3 linked regions of the Arabidopsis thaliana genome follow. The protein of the gene in region 2 purifies or fractionates together with the protein of the main gene of each other region. This does not show direct contact. Each region holds a gene or a part of one and is shown on either strand. Other genes may lie near its edges.

Evidence for each region. The genes of interacting proteins can lie anywhere in the genome.
Region 1: the proteins of NAP1;2 (region 2) and AT1G63210 fractionate together in Arabidopsis thaliana (co-fractionation; one large-scale study listed by BioGRID). This does not show direct contact.
Region 3: the proteins of NAP1;2 (region 2) and IMPA-5 fractionate together in Arabidopsis thaliana (co-fractionation; one large-scale study listed by BioGRID). This does not show direct contact.

Annotation. Positions count from the first base shown.
Region 1 is NC_003070.9:23,442,046-23,447,873, reverse strand, and holds AT1G63210 (Transcription elongation factor Spt6), read right to left. Parts: upstream 4,187-5,828; coding exon 911-4,186; intron 838-910; coding exon 520-837; downstream 1-519. UniProt on the Arabidopsis thaliana protein: Transcription elongation factor that enhances the transcription elongation by RNA polymerase II (RNAPII).
Region 2 is NC_003071.7:8,436,432-8,442,017, forward strand, and holds NAP1;2 (nucleosome assembly protein 1;2), read left to right. Parts: upstream 1-2,024; 5' UTR 2,025-2,169; coding exon 2,170-2,215; intron 2,216-2,319; coding exon 2,320-2,363; intron 2,364-2,591; coding exon 2,592-2,687; intron 2,688-2,816; coding exon 2,817-2,909; intron 2,910-3,131; coding exon 3,132-3,219; intron 3,220-3,323; coding exon 3,324-3,385; intron 3,386-3,467; coding exon 3,468-3,652; intron 3,653-3,735; coding exon 3,736-3,913; intron 3,914-4,000; coding exon 4,001-4,044; intron 4,045-4,127; coding exon 4,128-4,344; intron 4,345-4,440; coding exon 4,441-4,458; intron 4,459-4,540; coding exon 4,541-4,609; 3' UTR 4,610-5,070; downstream 5,071-5,586. Other genes in the region: RECA2 (recA DNA recombination family protein), read left to right, coding at 5,301-5,357, 5,541-5,586. UniProt on the Arabidopsis thaliana protein: May modulate chromatin structure by regulation of nucleosome assembly/disassembly. May function in nucleotide excision repair (NER). Involved in somatic homologous recombination.
Region 3 is NC_003076.8:19,991,427-19,996,521, reverse strand, and holds IMPA-5 (importin alpha), read left to right. Parts: upstream 1-1,849; 5' UTR 1,850-2,005; coding exon 2,006-2,212; intron 2,213-2,338; coding exon 2,339-2,432; intron 2,433-2,533; coding exon 2,534-2,625; intron 2,626-2,697; coding exon 2,698-2,829; intron 2,830-2,910; coding exon 2,911-3,096; intron 3,097-3,165; coding exon 3,166-3,329; intron 3,330-3,415; coding exon 3,416-3,494; intron 3,495-3,714; coding exon 3,715-3,843; intron 3,844-3,947; coding exon 3,948-4,075; intron 4,076-4,157; coding exon 4,158-4,506; 3' UTR 4,507-4,576; downstream 4,577-5,095. Other genes in the region: AT5G49320 (transmembrane protein, putative (DUF1218)), read left to right, coding at 308-472, 658-884, 1,058-1,439. UniProt on the Arabidopsis thaliana protein: Binds to conventional NLS motifs and mediates nuclear protein import across the nuclear envelope.

The sequences.
Region 1 (5,828 bases), on a different chromosome or scaffold from region 2:
GAGTAGGAAAAAGTAAATTGACTCATGGCGTAATTGAATTGTCAACATAAAAGTCACTGATATAAAGTTAACTATACTAAAGTAGCTCTTGTGCTTGAACCAAACATCAGCAAAAACCATACCTTAAAATCAATCTGCAAAAAAAAAAGTAAGAGAACATCATTAGTTACATAAATGAATCTAAAAACAATCATTTAACCCAAAAGTAACGGAAAAGAAAAACCCATGAAACAAAACAGAGATGTTAGAATTGAAAACAACACTCTGTCCGCAATAAACAAAGCTAACTAATTAAATCTTTCGTCTCTTCACATTTCTTGTGGGATCTTTCACACTTTTGACGAAATTTAAGTTGAATACTTGTATAGTTCTACTAAACAACAGACCTAATTAACGTTCCAAAAACAAAACTATTATTTCCCATATAGGTTTCTTGCAAAGCAAGCAATCAGTCTAAGAAATTCTTTGGGCTAAGGAGTGGAAAAATTCATGAATACATGATAAATAGTACCTTCAAGTTCATTGATTATCGATATGTCTCTTGAAATAAGCAGCCAGTTTATCAAGATCCCCAAACATTCTTTTCCTGAACTTGAATCCCTTAGGGTATAGACCGATGTACTCGTGGTGCGGATTTGCGGATCGTATGTAAGACAATATAAAGCTCCCTGGATGTTCATGAGAAACACCAAAACTGTAAACTACCATTTTCGGATTCACACCCTTCTCAACCCGAAGAAGATCATCTATTTCCGATTTTGTCCCAGTCCGAAATTTCCGGTGGTTTAGCATTGTCATAAGATGAGTTACCAAAGGATCAACATACCGATCCATTACCTGAAATATTGAAAACGCATAAGTATTTTCACTTGTACCAAAACTGAAATTTTGTAAGAATATAAAGACGAACCTCATCTAGATCCTCGAAGGTTTCATTCCCAATTTTCAGTGTTTTCCCAATACGTTGTAAGCTCACTATATCTTTGTTCTCCTTCTCACCTTCGATTATCTCCTTGTTAGCATACACATTATCAGAAATCTTGATCATCAAAGTCAAATGATTCAGTCCTCGTGAGCTTGGACGAACAATGCTTTCTCCAATATTCTTATCAGACAAATACACTGTTGCTTGCTCGGCAGTGATGTTCTGAAACCGAGGATGAACAATCATCCGAGACTTAAACTGCTTCTTTTCTTTAGGAACTTTCTCTTTCTCTATCAGGACACTATTTCGTTTCTCCTCGTGGTAATAATCATCGACATCCCCGAGATTCCTGTGCTTTCTCATTTCGCTTTCTTTGCAGACAAGTAACACATGATACCTTTGCTTTAGAATCGATTTGACCTTGCAAGTAACGATATCGCCTTCACACAGTTTGTTAGACAAATCAACGATATCTCTACCATCATCTGAGTAATCTTCCTTCAAGAGAATCCCAGGTAATCCACAATCTAATACACATTTGGCTTTACCACTTGTCACTTTCTTAACAGTGGCCTGCACAATCCTCCCTTCACCAATAGTTTCTTTGGTTTCACCTGAAATCATATAAAACTCCTCATCTGAATCAACCTCTTTAAACAGACTCCGCCAATCCTGAAATCCACAGCTTAATTCTCTCATGATCAGACTATAAGTTTCCTTCTTATTCTCTTGGTTCTTGCTTCTCAAGTACTCATCAAGAACGATTTTCCTCAAAGAAGCTGGCTCATCTCTCACATGCTCTATCGCCATCTCTATTGCATCATCCTCATCACCTCTTACAGTATCATGAGCATAAACATCTTTCGCCAATTCTTGCGCAAGACCGTATGATTCGGGATGTATTCTAGTGTCATCCAACAGATCAATAAATTGGCTGCTACTACAAGCCAACCCGCTCCTACGAATCCGTAAGAAACCAGCTGCATTTACGAATACCTTTTTACCAATCCCATGATTTATCAGTTCCTTGCGGACAAATATCGAACCAGCTCTAACAAGAGACTTCTGCAAAGATGCAGCTTTCCTAGGACCAAGACCTGAAACAAACTGTAAAGGAGAAAAAAGCCATTCATGGCTCGCAGCCAGATTAATGTCGATTCCAACTTGATTCGTTATGTCAACCATAACTTGTTCAACCATCTCATACTTCTCATCTGGATCAAGAAAATCTTGAAAAGAATGAAGCTTCCAAGACAGAATATCTCTACCTGGACCGCATAAAGTTGAGATCATTGCTAATGGATTCTGGAGATAACGTCCAAGAGAAACTGCGCGTTTCACAATTCCTGCTTGTTGAGGTAGTTGTTCACTTGAGATTCTAGAATTTTCGTATAGCCTAGGAAGAGATTCATCCGCATAAACCAATGGAAAATCATAAATCCTATCATCTACATAATTCAACGGCAGCTCTTCCACCATTTGGAATATAGCCTCATAAATCTCATCCTTCAGGCGTACACAACTCAAATTAACAGCTGCTAAAGCCAAAACATCTGGTTGATGGTCTCTTATAAACTTTAGAAAACGATCTTGATCCATTTTTTTACGTTTCTGGTCATTTACATCCCGAGACCGCAATCCAATGGAACCTGAGTAAAGCACATCAACCAGCTCTCCTGATGAATCAAGCATCACAAATGTAGTTTCTGGATTTCCAGGTCCCCAACAACAAGCTAGGACCCTCGGTGCAGCTTCCTCCTCCGAGGTATTATTATTCCTTCGATATGGCCCTGAAGACACTTTGTTCCATAAAACCTGTCCATACTCTGAAAGCAACTGAGTCTTCGCTCTGCTAGTTAGCAAGGATCTTGCTTCTTTCTCCATTGACGGCAAAACAAAACCATGAACCGCATCCTCCAGTATCAATTTCCTCTGCTCGTTCCAGAGTTGAGCATACTTACTAACACCAACACTTAGATAGTGTTCACTGCATTCACTAATTATCCTATTCATCTGATTCTCAGGCAGCTTGAAAGTTACTTGAAGAAGCTTCTCCTCTTCTGCTTTCTGAATGAGAAGCCATTGTACACCATCAAACTTTCTCAATGGCTTCTCGCTTAACCACTTAACCGCAGAAAACCGATGGAAGGAATCTATAACCACATTCCCATCTGGTGTTGGACTCGTTGAGACTACTGCATTCTCCATAAAAATTCCACGAACATACTTTCTAATCGATGGCTCGCAGCTTATCTCAACCGCAGCCATATGCCTTGCACCTTTAAGAACAGCTTGAGAATCTCCAAACATTGCACACTCATAGTTCAATGCCATCTCCTCTGGTGTTTTCTTTGCATCTTCAAGCTCATCAACAAAAACTTTCTCAAGAGACAACGCTAGTCCCAATTGCTCAGCGCTATAACCAAACTTGTTTGCAAATTCCTTAATCCCAAATTTGCTGCAGATGCTATATTGCGATTTCCTATTCGGCCTCTTGTACTGTCCTTCATCGATCTCACAATGAGGAAAATGCAAGTTGAACTTTGAGTCTACATCATCAACTTCTCTCTCTGTCTCCGCCGCTTGAAGAGACTTAATAACAGATTCAAAAAGACTCTTATTCAGATCAGACATGCAGGTTTCTTCTTCAAAACGTTTGGTATAGTAACCAAACAACGCGGTTTTCCTTTTCCGCAGAAGAACCCACTTTCTATCCAAATCTTGAATCATCCACAAGACTTTATGCCACTTGGTCTCAAGCTTCTTGTCAAGATTGAAATCACTACCATCATGATCATCATCAGAACTGTCCAATAAACTCCGACACTGCTCCTTCCGATACATAGCTATAAACGGTATCTCTAACTTCTGCACATGAAACATCTCTAAAAACTTCACAATGTCATCCTTATTAATCAAACAACCCTGCCCTTGTTCTTGAAGCAATCGAGCATAAATCCAGTTGCTCTCTTCTTGAATGCTCATGTCATCTAGGGAAACAATTCCAATGGCTTCTTCAAATATCTGCATTCTCTCAGGAACATCAAGCTTCCTAATTTCATCATCTTTCTCCGTCATATACTTCTCAGAGAGAACCATTGGTTCAAACTCATCTTCTAACTTTCTTTCGATCTTTTCGTTATACTTCAAATCCTTTTTCCGAAGTTTCAACAATTCTTCAGGATCACCAAATACATCATTAGCGTATCGTAAAGCGTTCGAATCAGTTCCTTGCTTATATTTCATTTTCTTCCTCCTCATTCCTTGAGCACCATGATCATCTTCATCTACAATGAAGTGACTCAAATCATCATCATCATCATCATTATTGATCTTATCCTCTTCCTCTGAAGATTTCTTCAAACGTTTATACTTGTTTCTTTGGAAAGTGTCGTTGTTATCTTTAAGAAGTAGATAATCATCTTCGTGAAGAGTAAAGGATTCGTCTTTCTTCCTTCGACTTCTACTCTTTTTCTCACTACAATGTCTCTGTTCTTCTTCTTCTTCTCCATCATCAGAACCATTCACTAAAAACCCATCGTCAAACTCATACTGATCATCTTCGTCTTCATCATCTTCCTCACGGTTCTCCACTGGATCTTCATGAATCTGGGGCTCTGTCTCAAAAACAGAGTCGAATCGTTAGAAAAATAATAATAACAGAGAATTTAGGGCTTTTGAAAGCAGAGCTTTTTATGTACCTTCGTCGATCCTATTCATGACTAGGTTAGAATATTTAGCTATACGAAATCGATGAAGATGGAGATCAACCCTAGAAACTCTGTGATCGTAAAACTAGTCTCTATTTGATTCTGAATTTTGCGAAGAGAAACAAAGAAAAAGGCTTTTCGTACTTCTAGGGTTCACACCAGCATTAAGAGGCTACTAATTGAAGTTTTGAAGCATTTCTTATTTTTAAAAATATTTATGAAACTCTTTTTTTAGCTGATATTTAATTAATATATTTGGTATTTTTTTCGATTCATTAAGAGATTTATTTTTCATATTCATACAAATTTATATTGATAATTCTTTTTTCCACTAATTTTTTCATTATATAAACTAATGATAAAATATATAGGTGAAATATATTTTTAAAATATTAAACCTATAAAAAACAAAGAAATTCTCGAAAACTAAAGCAGAATCTACCGAAAACACTTAATAAAATTCATAGCACAAAAAACCATAACAATTAAGAATTGCAAAACAAAAAAAAAAAAAAAAAAAAAAAGATCAAGCAAACAACGGAGGATGGGATAATGAATCCTAAGAACTGAAAAAAGTAAAGAAGCAAACCAGACCGACGATCACTTGAATCAATAGAAACCGAGTTTGAGCCAAAGACAAGTGTTTAGAAGAGACTGCTAGATCACTAGAAGCACGAACCAATTAGAAACTCTAGCACAAACAGCACCAAACCGGAAGCAAACGCCAGACTGATCAAAACTACAACGGGCACTCACTCCCCCAACACCAAACCAAATTACTATTGATAATTTCTTATATCACATCTTTTGAAAAAAGGATTTAATTTAAGCCTAGTTATTAAGGCGCTTAACGTTGCCAAAAAAAAGAAATTATTCTATAAAATTAATGATTTTTAATTTAAAGGTTAGGTGTTTCTCTAGACTTAAATTATTTTCTTACACGATAGAATACTTAGAGGTTATTTCTATTTACGAAAAATGAGAAAAAAATGGAAAAACCAAACGGACTGAAATCACATGGAGTTTGTATATGCATTATTAATTCATGAAAAGAAGTGTCTTGAATTTTCAACCATTTTACTTTTGAAAATCACACTCAACAAAATTAGCTTTTGGTATAAGTATTTTTTTTTGTTGAGAAATTCGTGAAGACGTGTCGTTGGGTGGGTTCCAATAGATATTGTTCTAATATT
Region 2 (5,586 bases):
GCAGGTTGAAATTGGAAGTGAGTAGGTGAGGAAATTTAGGGAGATTCCATGGTGTTTTGGTTAAGCAACCAGAAGCAAGCAAGATGAAGAAGACTGCGCGTGTGTGTGTGTCTCGCTTAGCCTGTTGCTTTTGGTCTTTTCTATTCCTTTTCTCAATTTATTAAATATCTTTATTCGGTGAAAAAAATATACAGTATATTTCTTAGAAACTTTATAATAAGAATAAGGATTTTGTTTTTATATTTTCCTAAATTCCATAAATCTCTTAAGTTTACAAATTCATATATCTTTTAACATTTAAACAAATAACCAGACTTCTAGTAATATATATAAATTTATTTAGGGAGTGTTATTGGTTTGTGATGTATTCGAAGTTTCAGTGACTTAAAATGTTATGAAGAATTTGTTGTTATTCAATAAAGATTTTTCAATTTTTTGTTAAAGTTTGGTGTTATTAGTTTAAGATTTGTAAAAAGTAATATAAAATCTTCATAAATGTAGAGTTATTGGATTCATATTTTTATAAAGTTATTAAATTTTTTGTGTAATTCATTTAAAACAAAGAATCTATGATTATTATAATGAATTAAATTATTGTGTTATTGGTTTATGACTTTCTACCCTTTTTTTTATAAAATAAAGTTGTGAAAAATATCATACCCTTTTTTTTTACAAAATAAAGTTGTGAAAAATATCATAAAAATAAAGAAATTGTTTGAGAAACTTTACAAAATTATTAAAAACTAATCAACAAGTTTATTAATGACCTTAAACCAAAATAGGTACATATAATATTAGATAGATCATGCAAATGCGTTTGGTGGTTATGTTACTTTTGTATCATTTGATTGGCATGATGTTCTACATTTTTTTACCATTTCTCTATTCTTAAGTCGAAATCTTTAGGACCAAATAAGCATTTTTCCCTAAACTAACAAAGCAGCATCTCACTAGATGTTTTCCAATCAGATTTGCTTACTATAGTGTGCTAATATGAAATTTGAGTGACTCATGACAATGCATCAATCCAGATTAAGCATTAACATGTGATCAGCTAGCATTCATGAGAATATGAGAATTGTCTTCGAGCTAAAAGAAAGTAGACTCTTTTTTCACTTGAGAAACTCATGACATACTTTTTTTTTATATACATTTGTTTTTTGATGATTAGGTTAAACTTTTGTAATAAATAAATTTTTAGTTAAATAAATAAACTTCTATCATCAAAAGACTCGTGAGTTTCTTCCTATGTTGCAATGAAATGGAAACGAAAACGCGAATACGAAACGTTTCGGAAACGAGAAACGATTTTTTCTTAAAATTAGGGATTGGAAACGATTTTTTCTTAAAATTAGGGATTGGAAACGTATACACATACATACATATATATATATATATATATATAACATTAACATAAAACTATATTAAAGAAAAAATGGTTTAAACAATACAAGTCCAAAACATCAATATTAAATAAATAAACTAAAATTCTAAAAGATAAAAATTAAAAGGTTCAAGTTCAAATAGTTAATTTAGACCAACATTTTCATTTTCATTAGTTTCATCAAAGATAATATAAAGCTCTTTTCAAATCTGGTTTATCAAAAGAAATATCTTAAAACTCAAAGTCTTCCAAAATTAGTTATATGTATTAATAATTTTAATAATTTTAATTTTAGTTATTAAATTTTCAAAGTTGAAAAAAATTTGTCGTATGTCTATTTGGGAAACATGAGTTTCTATCTTTAAAACGTAAGTTTCCATCGTGTTTCCAAACATAAATTTTTAAAAAACGCGTTTCCGTTACGTTTTTCATGTTTCCGGAGAGTTTCTGTTTTCGTAACGTTTCGGAAATGGGAAATAGACCTCGGGGCGAGTTTCCATGCAACCTAGATTTCTTCTAACCAATAGAAATGCTCTTAAAAGCCTTTTTTTAAAAAAAATCAACAGAAATGCTCTTAAATGTTAAAAACAAATATTCATGCCAAATTTTGATGTAAAAATTTGTTATTTTCGCTTTAGTTGTGTCTTATTTCGGTCTGGTCATTTTCTCAAAGCCCTTTTAGTTATTTATATATATATTCTCTGTCTCGTATTTGTCCCCAAAAATCTAGGGTTTTAAGGTTTCTTATCCTTCCTCTTCCTCCGCCAGATTCTTTTCTTGCGAAGATGAGCAACGACAAGGACAGCATGAACATGTCCGATCTCTCCACCGGTAAGATATTATAATCTTATTGTCCTATAGAATGAGGCCTGGATTCTCTTTTGTTCTCTTGATTTATTGAAAAAAGCTTCTCTTGTTTTGTGTTTTGCTTATAGCTCTTAACGAGGAGGATCGTGCCGGGCTTGTTAATGCTCTTAAGGTGAGTTTTTTCTTCACGATATGATTTGCGTATGACTATCTGGAGATTGGGCTATTCATCTTTGTAACTTTTAGGGATTGTTTTCTCTTCCTGACTAGTTTTGAGAAATTGATTTGATTCTTATGGCTTAGAGAATTTGACTTTGGTTTTGAGGATTGTCTATGCATCTTAATTTGGTTGTTTGAAAGTTTGTGACTTTTCCTGATTTGATTTACGTGTTTGCTGCAGAACAAGTTGCAGAATTTGGCTGGACAACACTCTGATGTCCTTGAAAACTTGACTCCACCAGTCAGGAAGCGTGTCGAGTTTCTAAGAGAGATTCAGGTGAGTAAATTTTCAGCTTTTAGATGATCTTGGATTTTGTATTGGTTTTGAATTAGCTGGCTGTTCAGGTCTAATGAGTTTTTGGTGGAGCAAATTTATCTGATTCCTTTTGTATTTTAACCTTTGCAGAACCAATATGATGAGATGGAAGCAAAATTCTTTGAGGAGAGAGCAGCTCTTGAAGCTAAGTATCAAAAGTTATATCAGCCTTTATATACCAAGGTTTGAATACGGTCTTTGATTCTGCGAGATTCTTATGGTCTTTAGTTTCCTATTATTAGAATATCTTTGAAACACATGATGACACCTCAATTGATAAAGGTTTAATAAGACTTCTCTCTGTTGCTACTTACGTGAATGATTAGTGCTTCATGGTTTTCACTTCTTTCTGCATCATTCGTGATTGTAACTGATATTGATGGTCTTCTGCCTTCTGCATCACAGCGATATGAGATTGTGAATGGTGTGGTCGAAGTTGAAGGTGCAGCTGAAGAAGTAAAATCCGAACAAGGAGAAGATAAATCAGCTGAAGGTGTGTTTATCGATTCTTTTACTGAAACATGTTTATTTTTAGTATCTTATGATGATGATGGTGAACTCATGATTTTTATATGATATGAAACTGTCTTTCTGCAGAGAAAGGAGTACCAGATTTCTGGCTTATTGCATTGAAGAACAATGAAATTACTGCGGAAGAGGTTCGTTATTAGAATATTCTTCTTTTTGGTTTATAAAATGGCGATTCTCTTTATCATTATGTGGTTTTTTCCACGGTTTTAGATAACTGAGCGAGATGAAGGGGCTCTCAAGTATCTCAAAGATATCAAGTGGAGTAGGGTTGAAGAACCAAAAGGGTTCAAGCTTGAGTTTTTCTTTGATCAGAATCCTTACTTCAAGAACACTGTCTTGACCAAGACATATCACATGATTGATGAAGATGAGCCTATCCTTGAGAAGGCCCTCGGGTAATGTTTTGCTCTATCAAGTATTTACTGTTTATGTTCTGAAGACAATAAGTCTTTATTGACTGTCGTTTACTGCTGTTCAGGACGGAGATTGAGTGGTATCCTGGAAAGTGTTTGACACAGAAGATTCTAAAAAAGAAGCCAAAGAAAGGATCCAAAAACACAAAGCCGATCACTAAGACTGAGGACTGTGAGAGTTTCTTCAACTTTTTCAGTCCACCTCAAGTTCCTGACGATGATGAGGATCTTGATGATGACATGGTATTTCCATCTCCATAAGCAGTTTAGTTTTTAGAGTCAGTAATTAAGATTGTGTTGGATTTTAATCTGATCATCTAATATTCACAGGCTGATGAACTCCAAGGACAAATGGAGCATGATTATGATATCGGGTGTGTACCTTTCTATTTCATATTCAGTTCTCTTCACTTAGTTCAGTTCTAGGATCTGAGTCTGTCCACTGTTTATCCTGTAGTTCAACAATCAAAGAGAAAATCATCTCGCATGCTGTGTCATGGTTCACTGGTGAAGCTGTTGAGGCAGATGACCTTGATATTGAGGACGACGATGATGAGATTGATGAAGATGATGATGAAGAGGACGAGGAAGATGATGAGGATGACGAGGAGGAGGATGATGAGGATGATGACGAGGAGGAAGAAGCAGATCAAGGAAAGAAGAGCAAAAAGAAGGTAAATTATGTGGTTTTGTTCTACTTAAAACCTTCCTACATAGGAAACTAAAACCTCTGAAACTGATTTGGTGGTTTATCTTTTGTTTTGTTGCAGTCATCAGCTGGGCACAAGGTTTAACAATCAATCAATCTCGATCTTTTTTTTTTGTTGATAATGCAATGGCTAACCTGAGGTATCCTTTTTTAATGAACAGAAGGCTGGAAGAAGTCAACTTGCGGAAGGTCAAGCAGGTGAGAGGCCACCGGAATGTAAGCAGCAGTGAAGAAGTGAAGAATCTTGGCTTAGTTATGATGAAGAAGAAGAGTGAAGAGTGTCTTTGAGCCGAGGTTGTGTTTCTTTAATTTGCAGAGTCATGGTCCGGTTTATTATATATCAGTTTTGGGTGATTGGTTTGCTATTTAAAAAAAAAAAATGGGTTCTTTGGTTTGGTTTGTGTCTCTTGATTTTTCCTTTTGTAATGATCTTATGAATTTGTTTCGAGTTAATGTCGTTCTCTGGTCAGATTTCGAATTCAATTCTATTTATCCTCCCTCGTTAATGAGAGAATTTGTGAGACAATCTAGTTTACTTAAGATTGATCGAATTTTATAAACCAACATTACCAAACCGTCAAATAATTAAAACCAATCAATCTTATTTATCGGTTTGCATAACCCATCAATGAGCCGGTTTAGACATCGGTTTGAGTTTCTCTGGGAAAGACAAAAGTCAAAAACATCTCTGCCGACTTGTAAAAGACCGATCAACAGAAACCCAAAAAAAATAGTTGAAACGGAGGGAAACGAAAACCTAAAACCCTAAAAAACTCTTCCTTTTTTTTTTCCAGTGAAATTTCTCTTCTTCTCCGTTTTCATACAAGTCTGACTTCTGGGTAGTTGGAATTTTCCAGTTTTTGGTTTGTTTCTGTATCTGTGGTTTAAAAAAGTGGAGAAGAAGCTTTTTAGTGCTTTTCTATGGCGAGGATTCTCCGAAACGTTTATTCACTGAGAAGCTCTCTGTTTTCGTCAGAGGTATGTTTATCGTGTTTCTCATTTGGGTATTACGAGAAATTAAAAAAACTCTGTTACTGTCGTTTTCATTGCTTATTTGGGTATTCATTCATGAGAAAGAATCCGAAATGTTGTCTCTTAATTTGAATTCATTCTTTTTTTCTGGGTAATGTTTATTGACAAGGGTTTCATGGGGTTTTGCAGTTACTTAGAAGAAGTGTGGTTGGAACATCGTTTCAGCTCCGAGGCT
Region 3 (5,095 bases), on a different chromosome or scaffold from region 2:
TCCATTAACGAACTCTCGTCACATTATATATTTTACACATCATCGTTTAATAGACACTATACGAAAACAGTATAGTATTTCTAAAAAGACATCCGAAAGAGAACCTGCGAATCTTGGCCTTTAAGCAACCTTTGGCTGAAGCAATTCTTCTATCCTCCTCTCCTTTTTCATTTATTTATCAAATATACTCCAGTTTATTCTTTTCTTCCCACTTTCAATGCCTCTCATATATGTAAAACAAATCAAAGTATAATAACTCTCAAAACATGTAACTTCGATTCCTATCTATTAGAAATTGACGAGAGACATGTCGAGAACAAGAGTGCGAGCTGTGACCCATCAAGATCTTGTTCCAAACCCTAAAACCACAGATCTCAGCAGCAAAACCGGTATTTTCATCGCTGTTTTGACAATAATCTTTGGCCTCTCCTGCTTTGTTCTCTGCCTCTATGCCGAAGCCACAAGATCTCAGGTACATTACTATACAGGGATGTATATAAACTTTCTCTCATATGTTTTCATCATTTATATTTTCAAAATAAATCAGAAATCTATATTGATTCATGTTTTATATTAATTACCATATCGTTCGATTATAATAGTATTTAGTATAAGTTATATCATTGCCATTAATATGTTGTCAATCATTTGCAATAGGCGACATGGGGAAGCAAAACATGCGTGTATAATGGTAGCGGGAAAACGCCGTTGTTGTGTGGTGCGATTGCGTTTGTGGGACTAGCGGTGGCGATGGTGGGCTTCCACATGTACTTACTTATCGCAGTCACCACATCGCCGTCTCTGGTTCTGGTTGAGTGGGATCCTGACTCTGTTCCTGCGAAGAGGCTCACTTTTCAAGCTGCCTTCTTCTTCGTCTCAACATGGTACGTAGACTTATTCTAACGCAACGAATTAATGTCATGTAGTTATAAAAAATAAAATAAAAATAAAAAAATCCTAACTATAAGCAATCGTGAAATGACATATTTATGTTACTGACCATAGCTTAAGTTAATGATAATTTTGTGATTATATTATTCTTTTTTGTTCCTATAAGGGTTTGCTTTGGTGTTGGAGAGGTTCTACTGTTGGTTGCACTTAGTGTGGAATCAGGACATCTAAAGAACTGGTCTAAACCAAAACCTAGTTGTCTAGTAATCCGGCAAGGCTTGTTTTCAGCGGCCGGAGTGTTCTCACTTATAACCGTCTTTCTAGCCACGGGACTTTACCTAACCGCTCTTCAAGCACATCGAATCTCTAAGGATCTTGAAAACACACATAGAGAGATCATCGAGGCATCAGTTCTTTATGCATCTCCTCCAAGATCGCCTACAAATCGGATGGCTACGGTTGCTCGAGAAGGTCTTGCTACTGTTAGAGATGAATCGACGTCTTTGGAATATCTTGTTTCTTTAAAGCAACTTGCACATATAGTATAGTGTACAATGTATAGTAGTTAACATAATCATATGAGAAAAAACAATGTTTTTACTTCTTACATAAGCAATTCAAAATCACAAACCAAAACCTACTTTTTCCAATCAATACATGAACTTTACCGGAAAAGTAGGTTTTCCTTCGCCGGAGAAAACACTACACATCTAACGAGTAAACTCTGCAAATATGGTTCTTTTTATCGTCGGTAACGAGTAACTAAACCAACTTCACGGTTTAGTTCGGTTTAGATTCAAGTATTTTAGCTTATAATAATTATTGACTAATTATTTCAATTTGGAGCTCTTAATAATATGATTGTAAACTTTATCTTAAATTTAGATTATCAATGATTTATGATTCAATCTACTGTATAAATACGGTTAACAATTAAAAACGATAATTAGAAAACCCTCCCGCTTCTTCAAATTGAAACTGTTGTCGCTTCTTCTTCATCTTCACCACTCTTGCATTCTCTTCTTCACTTTGCAAATCCCATTCAGTTCAAATTTCTAGGGTTTCGCTTCGATTTTGTGAATTGATTTAGAGAGGTCGAAGAATCGAGAAAGCTATGTCCTTGCGACCGAGCACGAAGACAGAGATCCGTCGAATCCGTTACAAAGTCTCTGTAGATGCGGAAGAAGGACGCAGAAGAAGAGAAGACTTTTTAGTCGAGATTCGCAAGAGTAAACGCAACGAAAATTTGATGAAGAAACGTCGTGTAAAAGTTTTGCCTCCTGATTACAAGTTGATTTCCAACGACCCCTTTGAGAGTTTGGTAAAAGTTTGATCTTTGGTTTTGGATTAGTGAAACCTAGGTTTTGAAAGATACGACCTTTATCATTATACTCGAATGCTTTCGAATTGGGTAATTAAATTAGATCCTCTCTGGTGATGGTTGTAGTTGGAGATAGCGAATATGATCACTGGGGTTTTCTCGGATGATCCTTCATTGCAGCTTGAGTACACAACTCGGTTCAGGGTGGTTCTATCATTCGGTAAAACTCTTTACTTTTCTTTGATCTTGAGTTGAAAAAGATACGAACTTATATTTACTTGAATGGTTTCTTAAAGTCTTGTGGTTTTATATATTGTTCAGATAGAAGTCCACCTACTGATAATGTGATAAAATCTGGAGTTGTGCCACGTTTTGTAGAGTTTCTTAAGAAGGATGATAACCCTAAGCTTCAGGTTAGACTTAAAGTTCCCATCTTTGATGATTAGTGTAATCTTTGGTTCTGAATTCTTTGATCTTTTTTATAGTTTGAGGCTGCTTGGGCTTTAACAAACATTGCTTCTGGCGCATCTGAGCATACCAAGGTAGTGATTGATCACGGTGTTGTGCCACTCTTTGTTCAGCTTCTTGCTTCCCCTGATGATGATGTCCGTGAGCAGGTATAGTGCTTCTTCTGAGTATGAATGGTTAAATATGTGAGTTCAAATTTTGAAGAGTTTGATGTTACACTTAATTTGCAGGCTATATGGGGACTGGGTAATGTTGCTGGTGATTCAATACAGTGCCGTGACTTTGTTCTTAACTCTGGGGCATTTATTCCACTGTTGCATCAGCTGAATAACCATGCTACATTGTCGATACTTAGAAATGCGACTTGGACTTTATCAAACTTCTTCCGTGGCAAGCCTTCACCACCCTTTGACCTGGTATTCTTACTTCTCTATTTCCTCAGTTTTATAGGTGCAATACTTAAACTTATGAAACATGATTTATAGGTGAAACATGTTCTCCCTGTACTTAAAAGACTTGTTTATTCGGATGATGAACAAGTCTTGATAGATGCTTGCTGGGCGCTTTCGAATCTGTCTGATGCTTCAAATGAAAATATCCAAAGTGTGATCGAGGCGGGTGTTGTCCCAAGACTAGTTGAACTTCTCCAGTTAGTACTTCTCTCCAAATATTAAAAAATTTAACCGTTTGATACATGTTTGGATAATGAAGGCTCGCCATTTTTTTCTTTTGCAGACACGCTTCTCCAGTTGTACTTGTTCCTGCACTTCGTTGCATTGGGAATATAGTTTCTGGAAATAGTCAGCAGACTCACGTATGTAATTCATATTCCTTTGATGGAGCCTTCAAGAACACGTCTCTTGTACACCGTGTGAATTTATTGTTTTTCAAAGCAATAGCACTATCAAAAGCTTAATTTGTAATCCTGTATCTTGGATGATTATATCCTGGAGAACACTTCATTTATATGTTGCTTGAGTACTGTGTTGAGATTAGATTTTGTAACCAAATAACTCTTTGAACTTATTTTTCAGTGTGTGATCAATTGTGGTGTTTTACCCGTTCTTGCTGACCTGCTTACTCAAAACCATATGAGAGGCATAAGGAGGGAAGCTTGCTGGACGATTTCAAACATCACTGCCGGTTTAGAAGAACAAATTCAGGTGAGCATGAGTTTGTGATTGTTACTGTTGCAGAACTTGAACAATTTACGTTGCTATCACTAAATATTTTCTATTTGTCTTTCTTGCATTGATGATGATAACAGTCGGTTATTGATGCAAATTTGATTCCATCGTTGGTCAATCTGGCACAACATGCTGAATTTGACATAAAGAAAGAAGCTATATGGGCAATTTCAAATGCTTCCGTGGGTGGTTCTCCTAATCAAATCAAGTACATCCCTGTCTTCTTTCTTTATCACTTTTTTCATGCTTATTGATCATCTATATTCACAATATCCATTGGTGTGTATCAGATACTTGGTGGAGCAGAATTGCATAAAAGCTTTATGTGACATCCTGGTTTGTCCAGATCTAAGAATCATCTTAGTGTCTCTAGGTGGACTGGAAATGATTTTGATTGCTGGAGAGGTGGACAAGAACCTAAGAGACGTGAACTGTTACTCTCAAATGATTGAAGATGCAGAAGGGCTAGAAAAGATTGAGAACTTGCAGCACCATGGCAACAATGAGATCTACGAGAAGGCTGTGAAGATTCTGCAAACATACGGGCTTGTAGAGGAAGATGGAAGGTTAGTTGAAGAGGAAGATGAAGGTGGTGATGGTTGTTCTCATCCGGAATTCCAGTTTGATTTTTCTCGTTAAGATCCCACATAATCTGATATTAGATTTTGATGTAAAGAAATAGCTGTCATATTGAACCAAAAGCATGCACATAATATGATGGTCCTAAAAGACAAAACAATGTGGATTCCAACAGGAAGTGGAACTTGGTTCTCTAACAGCTACTCATCATATTGGAATCAAGTTCCACTTCCTGTTAGAGAACCAAGTTCCACTTCCTGTTGGAATCCACATTGTTTTGTCTTTTAGGAAAAAATTTTACTCAAATTTACCGAACTAACGGTCAAAATTAAGAAAGGGTTAAATTATTTGTTTACCGAACTAACGGTCAAACTTTAAAGATGGATTCAGTTTTTTTGACGCGGGACGGATTTGTTTTTTTTTTTTTCTTTCGAAATGGATGGGCTCTTATGCTATGGGCTTTGGTATAACGTAAAAGGCCCATATATTCCGAAACCACTTTGTGTTTCGTTTCCATGGAGAAATTGAATCATCGAATTTGGTCGCCACTTTGAGAATTTAGATGAATTCGATAACAAGCTCAAGTAAGAAGGTGCAGAGATGCTTTATTATTTCTTCGCTCGTTGTTAACTCTTCTTCATTCTCGTCT